Linked DNA regions of Cricetulus griseus. The protein of the gene in region 1 interacts with the protein of each later gene in a pairwise test. Links are inferred from orthologs where the notes say so. Each region holds a gene or a part of one and is shown in the gene's direction. Other genes may lie near its edges.

The links.
Region 2: the proteins of Prkra (region 1) and Adarb1 interact in binary tests that used the Homo sapiens proteins (3 or more experiments, as listed by UniProt). The link is inferred for Cricetulus griseus from reciprocal best matches to the Homo sapiens genes PRKRA and ADARB1.
Region 3: the proteins of Prkra (region 1) and Lyar interact in binary tests that used the Homo sapiens proteins (3 or more experiments, as listed by UniProt). The two-hybrid records come from large-scale screens. The link is inferred for Cricetulus griseus from reciprocal best matches to the Homo sapiens genes PRKRA and LYAR.

Annotation. Positions count from the first base shown.
Region 1 is NC_048599.1:98,416,973-98,420,622, forward strand, and holds part of Prkra (interferon-inducible double-stranded RNA-dependent protein kinase activator A), read left to right. Parts: intron 1-2,142; coding exon 2,143-2,317; intron 2,318-3,650. UniProt on the Homo sapiens protein: Activates EIF2AK2/PKR in the absence of double-stranded RNA (dsRNA), leading to phosphorylation of EIF2S1/EFI2-alpha and inhibition of translation and induction of apoptosis.
Region 2 is NW_023276806.1:261,477,104-261,481,316, forward strand, and holds the start of Adarb1 (double-stranded RNA-specific editase 1), read left to right. Parts: upstream 1-1,336; 5' UTR 1,337-1,383; coding exon of another isoform or gene 1,384-1,411; intron 1,412-1,646; 5' UTR 1,647-1,827; coding exon 1,828-1,867; intron 1,868-4,213. UniProt on the Homo sapiens protein: Catalyzes the hydrolytic deamination of adenosine to inosine in double-stranded RNA (dsRNA) referred to as A-to-I RNA editing.
Region 3 is NW_023276807.1:107,176,493-107,180,142, forward strand, and holds part of Lyar (cell growth-regulating nucleolar protein), read left to right. Parts: intron 1-957; 5' UTR 958-1,008; coding exon 1,009-1,130; intron 1,131-1,763; coding exon 1,764-1,878; intron 1,879-3,412; coding exon 3,413-3,520; intron 3,521-3,608; coding exon 3,609-3,650. UniProt on the Homo sapiens protein: Plays a role in the maintenance of the appropriate processing of 47S/45S pre-rRNA to 32S/30S pre-rRNAs and their subsequent processing to produce 18S and 28S rRNAs. Also acts at the level of transcription regulation.

The DNA of each region.
Region 1 (3,650 bases):
TGGGTACAGTGGCACATTTTGGAGGTGGATGCAAGAGGAGCTGCCTTTGGTTGCATAGCAAGTTCAAGGCATCCCTGAGCTACATGAGACCCTGTCTCAAAAACAAAACACCTATTAGAAACAATAACAGAATGTGTCGTTAAATTAATGTCCAAACCCAGTAGTTTTCACATCTTCTAGTCTTACAAAAATAACAACTAGAGTAGTTAAAAAGAGAAGGTTAAATTATTGCTATGAGAAAAGAGATTGAAGGTAAGAAGAGGGTAAGGCACTTGTGTACTTTAGAATTTTTTGTGTATGTGTAGATGTACATAGACTAATAAAAACCTGAGAGCTTGTGAGACAGCTCAGTTGGTGAAGTGCTTGGTATGCAAGCATAAGTACCTAAATTCAGAAATCTAGCTCTCATAAAAAGCCAGGCACAAAGGCTGGTAATCCCAGTGCTGGGAAGACCGAGACAAGAGGACCCCTGGGGCTTGCTTGTCAGACAGGCTAGTTGAATCTGTGAGCTTCAGGCTCAGGGAGAGAGACTCAAACAGTAAGGTAGAGAGTGATTGAGGAAGATGCCCAGTGTTGACACATGTGTAATCACGTTCTTGAATATACTAAATGTACACATATACCATACCACACATACACACCATAAAACAAATTTTAAAAATAAAAAAAAGATATTTTCTGGAAAAAGAGAAAATCTATTCTGAAAAAAGGTATACTAGAAAAAAGTCAATTATTTTCTTATTTATAAAGCCAATAGCTACAGTATAAAAAAATCCATTTTCAATATTAAAAATGGAGTGATATGTTTCTAATAAACTTGAATAGAAGTGTGCAAGCATTCACACAGGAGCCCTTGAAAACCCTACTGAAAAATATAACAGAAGTTAAATTAATGTGGCATTATTTCTTCTTTTCACATAGAGACTTGGTATAGTAAATACATAAAAATGCAAGTTGTGTTACTCTAAATATACCAAAATTCAATTTGGACCTCAGTAGGACTTTACTAAGCTTATCTGGAAAAAAAACAAAAAACAGATCCTTGAGCACAACTAAGAACCCTAAAAAGCAAGAATTTGAAGTGGCCCAGGGTGCGTGCCCTCTCAGAGAGTAATGCAAACTATGAAACTGTAATGACATAGGTTCCTGGTGGGAGAGCAGAACAGAATTCAGGAGTAGGTGCAAATATACTGTCACCTAGTGATGGTAACAGTGATTTCAGATCAGTAAGAAAAGGGATGGTTCGGCTGTGGTGTGGACCACTAACAGCCCTGTATGAGGGGACCAGATAGTGTGTTTGGATGTGTGTCGTCATGGATATAGATTGCTCATCCCCATACCAAAATAAATCTGAGATAGGTCAAAGATTAAGCATAAATAAAACTGTAAGTACTAGAAAACATGGAAGATCTTTTCAAAAAATCTTGGGTGTGGGGCATCTTTTTAACTATAACTTAAAATCTAGAATCTGAAAGCAAACGAATTTGACTAGAACCTACTGTGATACAACCAAAATTCTATAATTAAAAGCAATATAACTAAAACAAAAAAAGAAGTCAGTGTTCATTCATGTAAAGTCCAAGCAAATCAATTTAAAAAAAAAAAAAGGCCAGTAGGAAATTACAAAAGAAAGAAAAGAAAAAATATTCAGTTTATTCATGCAAAATAAGCTATTTTTATCTTTTAAGTTAGTGGCAGCTATAGTGTTTAGTAACTAACTGATATTAGTGAGAGCGTGAAAGTACAAGCACCTTCAGTTGGTGGGTATATAGAATAGTATTTCTTACATTTGTTTGAATGTGTGGTGGGGGCAAGGTGCATTGCATAGAGGTTGGAGGGTGGTTTGCTGAAGGAGTAGGTTCTCTTCTTTTGCCCTATGGGTCTGAGTGATCAAACTCAGCTGAGCCAACTTTCTGGCCCAAGCTGCAAGAACTTATCAAAATAAAAGCATTTCTGTTGGCAGTGTCTCTCCTAGGCCTAATTCTGGAAAGAAACAAACCTGGGTCCTCTGGAAAAGCAGCCAGTGCTCCTAAGCCTTGAGCTATCTCTCCAGCTCCTCACCAGTGCTTTCAGTTACACTGGTACTGATATTGGAACAGGTCCAGTTAGGAAACTAAATTTTCCTTCATCTCTGCTTTTTAGACAAATGTGGTTGGACATTCCCTAGGATGTACTTGGCATTCGTTGAGGAATTCCCCTGGTGAAAAGATCAACTTACTGAAAAGAAGCCTCCTCAGTCTCCCGAACACAGACTATATCCAACTGCTTAGTGAGATTGCCAAGGAGCAAGGTTTTAGCATAACCTATTTGGATATAGGTATGGATTCTTGTTTATCCTGACATGTTTCATCTCATTCCCTTTTGTTTTATTGTTGGTTGGTTTTGAGACAGGATCCCTTGTATCTCAGGCTGACATTGAATACCTACCTGGTCTTTCATCCACCTCCCAAGTGTTGGGATTGTGGGAACAAATGTCACTACTATGTCCCATCTCTGTAGATTTTCATTTAATTCAATTTATATACCTGTTTAATGTGTGTGTGTGTGTGTGTGTGTGTGTGTGTGTGTGTGTGTACACGTGTGTACATGCACACATGTACATGCATGTTTAGTGTCTTGATTTTAACATCAGAACAATGTGCTATCCCTGTTGAGTGAGATGTAAAGACCTGGACTGTCTAAGCTTCCAGCACTGGAAAAGTAGAGCCTAGGGGTGGAAAGAACCTGCAGTAGTCTCTGCAGCCATGAGTCAAATGCAGAGTCTGGATAAACAGTAGATGCTGCAGCACCTGGGGAGCAAATGCAGATAGGTGGTCTGGAGGACAGCTGATGAGAGACCATTCCAGAAGTATTTATCAGTGTCCTCAGTTTGCTAAAGGCCTGGAATACATGGAGGACTGAGCTGTCGTGACCAGGACTAAGAGGAAAAACAGAATGTGGGATAAGAAGGACACCTGCAAGGATGTTTTTTTATTATGAGCTGATGATGCCTTTGACATCCTTCTCACTAACTTAAAAATGAAATAGTCCTAGAGCATCTGGAACTGGCGTTTGACCATCTCCAGTGCAGTGCTGTCCATGGAAACAGGCAAATGAGCTGGGATGATGGCCAGCACTTAGGGGGCTGAGACAGGAGGATCAACACAAGTTTGAGACCAACCTGGCATTATAGTGAATTGTACACCCATCAGAGCTACAGAGTGAGATGAGAGAGGAGGAGGGAGGGACGGAGGGAGAGGGGGAAGGGATGAGGAGAGAAGAGAAGAGAAGAGAAGAGAAGAGAAGAGAAGAGAAGAGAAGAGAAGAGACAACAAGCAAAGCATCTGCAATAGTGTTCAACCTCATTATTTCAAAGAAGAATACAAATTAAAGTCACAGAAAAGTACCCCTTCAAACCCAGTCAGAAAAATGGGAAATAGCAAATGTCTGTGAGATTCCAGTTTGGAACCTCATACATTGGTGTTCAGGTATAAAATGGTGCAACTGCCCAATAAAAAGATTATCAGCAACTCATGTGACCAAGAAACTTCACTCCTGGGAATTGAAACTAGTATTCAAATACCAGTAATGACATGTTCATAGTTTACTAGTCCCAAGAGCCAAGAAGTAGAAGTAGGTCAGATGTTGGAGGAATGAGTGGATAAACAAAT
Region 2 (4,213 bases), on another chromosome or scaffold:
GAACTATATCTTAAAATAATGGATTAATATAAAGTGATAATGCCTTTATAGATTTATTTTAAGATTATTTTTATTTTATTTTTACTTCATATGTGTGTGTATTTGGCCTGCATGTCTGTATGTCTGTGGCACCATGTGCATGGAGACCACAAAGGGTCTCATATCCCCAGGGACTGAAGTTACAGTCAGTTTTGAGCTTCCTTGTGGGTACAGGGAATCAAACCTGGGCCCTCTGAAGATCCTCCAGTGCTTATTATAACCATTGAATCATCTCTCCAAACCCTTGAAAACCTTTAATAAAAGATTCTATGTAGAAACTCCATCATGTAAGTGCTATGTGAAATATATATACTACCTAGCATATTTAATCAAAATTTTCCTAAAAGCAAGGAATTTACTTTATTGATATTGATAAAACAAATCTGTATACAAAGGAATACAAAGACTTCAAATTTTACAAATCTTTTTCTCTTAATTGCAATTTATCAGAAATATTTGGGAAGAGGAAAACCTTAGATTTGTTAGTGATTGGGCAGTTGAAATTTTTCTTTAGGTCTTTTCTTGGTTTCTCCTGCTAATAGTTGTGTGTGGTGAAGGAATTGTGTTAGTTTAAATTGCATTAGATTTAAGCTACTATACACATTTTGTTCTCCTGTGAATGCTGTTGGGGTTCATGGAAGTGTAGGTGAAACACTTGGGGTGTCATCTGGGCAGTGGTGGTGCACACCTTTAATCCCAGCACTTGGGAGGCAGAAACAAAATGGATCTCTGTTAGTTTGAGGCCAGCCTTGTCTACAGAGCAAGTTCTAGGACAGCCAGGGCTACCCAGAGAAACCCTGTCTCCAAAAAACTTAAAAAAAATTGTTGTGTCTTGTTAATGTGACATCACTTTATTACCATTCATAGACCTACAAGGGCAGAGAGAAAGTAGAAGGCAAACAGCTTATTGTAATTCTGTGAACTGCTATGACATAGTTGTTGACAGCAGGCCATTATGGGTTAGAATTACCACCTTGTCCCTGGTCTGGAACCCTTAGTGACCCTTTACTCCCTGGAGTAGAGCATGAAGTTCCTGCATACTGCCCTAGCTTCCTTTGTGGAGACACCTTCCTTGCCTCCACTGTCCCTCCACATAAGGCTGCTAAGTCAGGTGCCCTGGAGAGTGCTGAGAGGAGATGAAAGAGACTGAAAATATTCCTTCCCAAATGATAAGCCCATTACTTTTCATGATATTTGTTTCTTTTTCATTGCTGTGCTGTGGTGAACAGTACACAAAGAGGACATACCTCATTTTGCCAGGATCACACACTAAATATTGTTTTTTGCTGTCTTTCAGACAGAAGTGGTCTCCGTCAGTCAAGAAACCCTCAAAAGCATTTTACCATGGATATAGAAGATGAAGAAAATATGAGTAAGATCTAGGCCTATTACATAGTGCCCAAGTAGTTCATGTCCCATTAAAATATTAGTGCTTTTGTATATTTGATAAGTAAGACCAGTTTGATGTTTCCTAAGATGTGGGCTGTTGGCAGTGATGGGTTTTTGTATAATAGCCATCAATATTTACTGTGGACATTTTCCTTACAGCCACCTATCTAGAGTTTTAATTCCTCATTATCATCATGGGACCATCATTTTTATTCCAGAAATATGCCTCTAGGTGCTTGTCTCATAATGCTGTGTGGCTTCATGTGAAGTTATGATTCTTACAATAAAGCTCAAGAAAACCTTTTTGATTGACTCAGATACCTGGTCACTGGGATAACAGTTCATAAAGCTCCCTTCAAACACAGTTGCTGCTCCTGCATTGGAGGGAAGGCAGTCCACATGATCTTAGTCTCTGAAGACTGGAACACGACTGGTGCTAGTATGAACCAAACCCCCACTGGGGTTCTTTCTATTCTCCACACCATCTTCCATGGGGCTGGGGGGCTGGGGCCACAGGTACACCAATGATTCCTCCCTTGGCATTGTTCTCTGTGAGTCACCAGTTACTTCTGCCCACCCTCAGTCCCAGAGAAGAGCAGGTCCAAAGGGAAAGCTGCCTGGAAGCAGCATTTTTCCAGCTAAGGTGCTCTGTCTCTCTGAAGGAAGGACATGCAGCTGCACAGCAGAACCACATATCCTGGGGGTGGTATGATGGTGAGAACCGGGCTTAGCATGCTCTCCATGACTCAGCCCAGTAGTTGGGACACTCAGAGCCTGACAGCACTGTGTGAGGCCAGTCTGTACCCCACTGCTGTGCTGGGGTGGGCTTTGCAGTAGACATCCTCTACCCTGAGAATGACCACTGACTGGCAGGAAGCAGCTGCCCAGTGCCGTTCAGAGTGGTGTAGTAGCTGGCATGTTTTTTCCTCTGCAGATGTGGTCACTGCTCACAGCTCTCTGGTCACTTCTCAGTTCTGCTCTAGAGACAGTTTAAGTTGTGGTTTTGCTGGCAGATCCACTGTGACACTCAGTGTTGCCAGGTTTTAAACTCTACATTTCAGACAGTATTACCACTGCTGTGCCAACCCAGTAACACCTCCCCGGGGAATATATGAAGGTGTCCCCAGAAATACCTGCTGACTTGGAACTGTGGGTTGTGTCTCCAGCTGTGGCCATCACCATTGAGCCTTGGCTAATTTAACTAAGGAAGGTTCCTCCCAAATAATAGTCCTGTAAAAATAAACTTTTGGGTCTAGTGTAAACCTGTAAGCCTGTGTCTCTTGTGGTTTTAAAAGCCGTTGCAGTCCCACTGTGATTGGGTTCCCATTCCAAACGCAGCAGTGTGGCATGCAGAGAGAGAGAGAGTGCCTGCTTCAGCAGAGAGTGGGCTCTGTCTCTAACTGGAGTCTGTTATTTCTGTTTGCTCAGGAGAATTTTTTGATAACATGCAATTGCTACCTTTTCTTCTGAAGTGAGTAAGGGTTGAGAATGATTTCAACTGTCACAGCAAGCGTATTTTTTTCTCATAATCCTGACTGTTAACTTAGTTCTGAGGGCATTTGGCTATTTGCCATCATTAATGTTTGGCTAAATGCGTGTCGGAGTGCCTTGTTGATGATGTTTGTTCCTATGCTGTTAATTCTGTTTGCTGAAAAACTTGAACTGTGAACAGAATGTAGTATGTGATGTTCTCCCCTTTTATTAATCCTTATTAATCTCTCTATCCGTCTTTGCTCTACCTTTTCACCTTTTGTTCCCTGAGTACCGAAAGGAGTAACCTACCGGTCTTTTGCTGGAGGATGTTATAAATGAAAATTTAGTGCCCATTCCATTAGCTTTGTCAGCTGGGAGAAGTGGTGTGTGTGTCAGGAGTGCTCTGGGAAGAGGTGTCTATTGAGAGACCCCCTCCCCCCCCACCCCACACATGAGATTTTCCATGGACTGAGTTTATCTTAGTAGTCTTGCTGTCTCGGCTGAATAATGATGGCCCTGGGCATCTGTAATCCTTTACTCCAGAGACTGGCAGCAACAACCAAGACATTCATCACATTAACCCCACCCATGGGCTCACTGAGGAACATTTTCAGTGTTTTCAGATGGTTTGACACACAGAAAATCTGTTGGCATGTTGCATAGTGAAGATAGACCCCTGAAGCCACTATATTTAGGAATATTATCATCAATTAAGATTTACTTTGGGGGATGGAGAGATGGTTCTGGGGTTAAGAGCACTGGCTACTCTTCCAGAGGTTCTGAGTTCAATTCCCAGCAACCACATGGTGGCTCACAAGAGTCTGTAACTCCATTTCCAGGGGACCTTACACCCTCACACAGACATACATGCAAGCAAAACACCAACACACATAAAAATAAGTAAATCTTTCTTTTAAAAAAAGATTTACTTTGGATTTTAGGAGCTAGTGGTTGGGGGTATAAGTAGGCACTGCACAGCCCTACTGCACTGGGCACACTGCACAGGACTGCAAAACCAAATGATAAAAGAGGAATTTTTCTTTCCTTTTTTTTTTTTTAAGAAGACTTAATAAACCTAAAAGGAGAACTGAACACTCCCACTTTGAAAAAAATATTTTTTTTCTTTTTGCTTGGTGGGAGGTTGAGACAAGGTCATAGCTGTGTGTAGCCTAGTTTGTCCTCTTAACTCTCAACTCCTCCCTGAGTCATAGAATAGCAGGTATGCACCAGCATGCCTGACATTTATTTCCCATTTAAATATCAAAATCATCTTTCATTTTGTCGTGTAAAGTACATTTAGAAGGTATGATCA
Region 3 (3,650 bases), on another chromosome or scaffold:
TTGAGAATTTACTGTAAAATCTCAGTGGTAAGGAGTTCTCACAGGAAGCAGAGAAGCAAGTCCTGTGTGTCTTGGTCCTAACCTTCATTTCATACTGAGGAAATGGGTGCTGGACTAGGCAGCTCTCGGTATTTGGGCTGAACAAAGCCCATTTTAGTAAGAACATCACTGCTCTTTTAAAGACCAGTGATTATAAAAGGCTATGTAAGCATGGAAAGTTACTGTGGCAATTGTAACACTTTAGGGATCTGTTTGCAGAGTACAGTAGCATGCATGCAATGTGAACTGGCTATGTGTGTGTAGATGCCCTCCATACTGGGTGCACATAAGGAGGCTGGCACATCTGGGTTTGGGGGTGACCATAATTGGTTCCTTTTCTTTCTTCCTGCCTGATGTACACAGACCCTAATAGAATGAGTTCATTTGTCCCTGTCCACTGAGGCCAAGGGGATGTCTTCATGTTAACATTTGTAATTCCATCATTGAGCATGTAGGAATCATTTTTAGTCTTCAGTGGAATTGTTCTTTAGCTTCTCCACTTGCTAAACTCTGCTGCTTGCCCCTTTGCTTTGTTGGTGTTGTAGTCACAGTTACAGTATGCACTGCACACCTGCACTGTGGTGCTTGTTAACACTTTGATTTTGTACATTTTATATAAGGGGGAGTGCTTGAAATCATTAGTGAAAGCTTTATCTATGCTGCTAATCTGCCAGGCTTAAAGCTTTTTATGCTCTCCTGGGCAAGTTTATGCCACTGTGGCCTCTTAGAAACCTTGACCCATGACATCCTTCCCCAGTAAGCTCATTGCAAGGGCTCAATACATTAGCTCCTGAGTATAATTCCTGGCTTGTGCTGAGCACTCAGCTGGTTCTTCTGATAATGCTCTTTTATTGTGGAATTCATGTATTGGAAGAAGTTTCTGCTTATTATAATATCTTTATCTTGTTTTGTTTTTAGGGCAAGAGTTCAAACCTGTCTCAGGTAGAATATTTAGTCATTTAACCAAAAATGGTATTTTTTACATGCAATGCATGTGGTGAATCAGTGAAGAAAATACAGGTGGAAAAGCACGTATCTGTCTGCAGAAACTGTGAATGTCTTTCTTGCATTGACTGTGGGAAAGATTTCTGGTAAGTTCTGATACTTAGATCCAGGTATAGAAGTCCAGACCCCACAAAGCTTGGGAAGATAGAGGAGCAAACTGAGGACAGAGAACAAAAAAGAAACCTTAGTGTCTGTTGACTAAACTTGGTGTGATTCTCCAGGGAGTGCCATTTCATTTTAAGGACTTGTTAAATTGAAGACCAAAGGGACAGGATCCTGTTGGTTAGAGAATTTGGGGCTAGTAACTTAGTACACACACAGTTTCAGGAACATATAGTTTATAGTTTAGTGGCAGAGCTCTTGTCTGGTATGCATGAGGCCCTAGGTTCAATTCCCAGCACCACCACCCCCCCAAAAAAGTTTTTAGAGAAAATTTAATCATTCAGAACCCTGGCTAGAATTTTGCTTCCTTTATTATCCAATGCAAGGAAGTGAGCACTCAGAATAAGGGACTTTCTGGGCGTTACAGGGCGGGGAGGTGGCACTTTGTTGTGGTTCTGTCAGATCTCATTGCTCTGAAGAAATCAACAAAAAAGCAGAATAATTAGGCTGTTTGTGCAGTTGGCCAAGTATGGAAAATCACAAAGAGTAAGCAGTGTACTCTTTGAGAGCCATTAGCACGTTGTCAGTCTAGTGATAAGACGTGGTTCCCTCTGCAGGGGTGATGACTATAAAAGCCACGTGAAGTGCATCAGTGAAAATCAGAAGTATGGAGGCAAAGACTATGAAGCCAAGACACATAAAGGTGATGCAAAGCAGCAGGCATGGATTCAGGTAAGTGTTTCTGTCCAGCCTGTCACTCATCCCACACTTCTATAAGTGCCACCTGTGCAGACAAGTCCCAGAGACAGCATACCTTGGGGTGGAGCACAAGTGTGAGAACATCTTGAGAAAGATAAAATTGTGGTTTGTTTATCTTTGGCTTCTGTGTTTTATAAATTGTGCTCAGCATATTCGTGGGTTCCTGCTAACTTTCTTTTGGCTGTAAAATGAAACTGAACCATAGAGTTTAAACCATCTGAACACATCTGAACAAAGTTAAAAGTTTCAGAAATGTAAGGAATTTTCTAGTTAAATACAATGAAAATATTTACAAAAGCAGTGAGCTCCATTTTGAAAGAAGGGGAGATTGCTGTACAGATAACATAGCACCTTTGTGGAGACTGCATTTTCTTGAAAATCAAATTAGTTCCCCCATTGAGTGCCAGAGTGTGAGTGTAAACTTGGGGTGTTGGCTCTCTTGACGGTGCATAATCCTGGCACGACCCTCATGAAGGACTTAACAGTGGCTACCCAGTTGAGAAGCTGCTGAAATCTTTAAGATGTGATAGTGCTGGCAGGGTGGCTCAGCTAGGATGCAGGTGCTGGCCACCAAGTCTGAGAACTTGAGTTTAGTCCTCAAGGACTCACCTACTACCAGAGAAGTGATTGATACAAGTTGTCCTCTAACCTCCACAAAAACACCTTTCACAGCACCCCATTGAGCCATCCTGCTGGCCCTCAATATTGTCTATCTGGTGTCATGTGTAAGAAATCATTACCAGATTAGATATTTTGAAGTTCTTTGATACATTTGGGGCTATTTTTTATGTAACATGAGGTCCAATTTAATTTCCATGTTAGGATCCACTATTCCTGGTACCATTTGTTGAAAAGGAGTCCATTTCAAGCTGGACTAGGCTTGATATCCTTGTCAAAAACCCTTTAACCATATCCTCAGGGGCTTGTTCCTGCATTTTCCAGTGGTCTTTGTGGCAGTAGTACCACACTCTTTGGATCATTGTAGCTTTGTAGTAAGTTTCCAATTAAAAAACAAAACAAAACAAAAAAACAACTTATTTCAAGATTGCTATTGTGTTTGGAGTGCCTCAGGGTTCCATGTGAATTAGTTGACATGTACAACTGGACTTTGCTATGGCTTTCAGGTTGACATCTTAATATTGTATTGCAAATGAAATTCTCCCAGTGTTCACATTTGAATTGTTTTTGTTGGTGTGTAAAAATGCAGCTTGCTTTTTAAGAATTGTGTATTCTGCAGCTCTGCTGAATGAGTTGTTAATTCTAACTGGTTGCCCCCTCTAGAGCTTTCTGCAAGCAAGACCATATTCCTTCAAATGCTGCCTGTGAATATTTGACCTGATTTTGTTCCTTCTGTTAGGAAGGCTTTGGCCAGGGCATCAGTGCTGTGTGGAATAGGAGAGTATTTGTCATTATGCATAGATGTAAATATAGAATCTTGGCTTTGAAGGTGAGAGCCCTTTGGCCAAGCCAATATGTCAGTTCATTTTCTTCTTCTTTTTTTAAATAGAAAATTAATGAATTAATAAAGAAACCCAATGTCAGCCCTAAGGTTGGAGAACTTTTGCAGCAAATCAGTGCTTTTGACAATGTTCCCAGAAAAAAGGCAAAATTTCAGGTATGGATTTAAATGCTGTTCCCAAATTGAGGTGTGGCCCATCAGTGACCTGTCAGAGGCGACAACGGCTTTCTCTTTATATCTACAGAACTGGATGAGGAACAGCCTGAAAGTGCACAGTGATGCTATT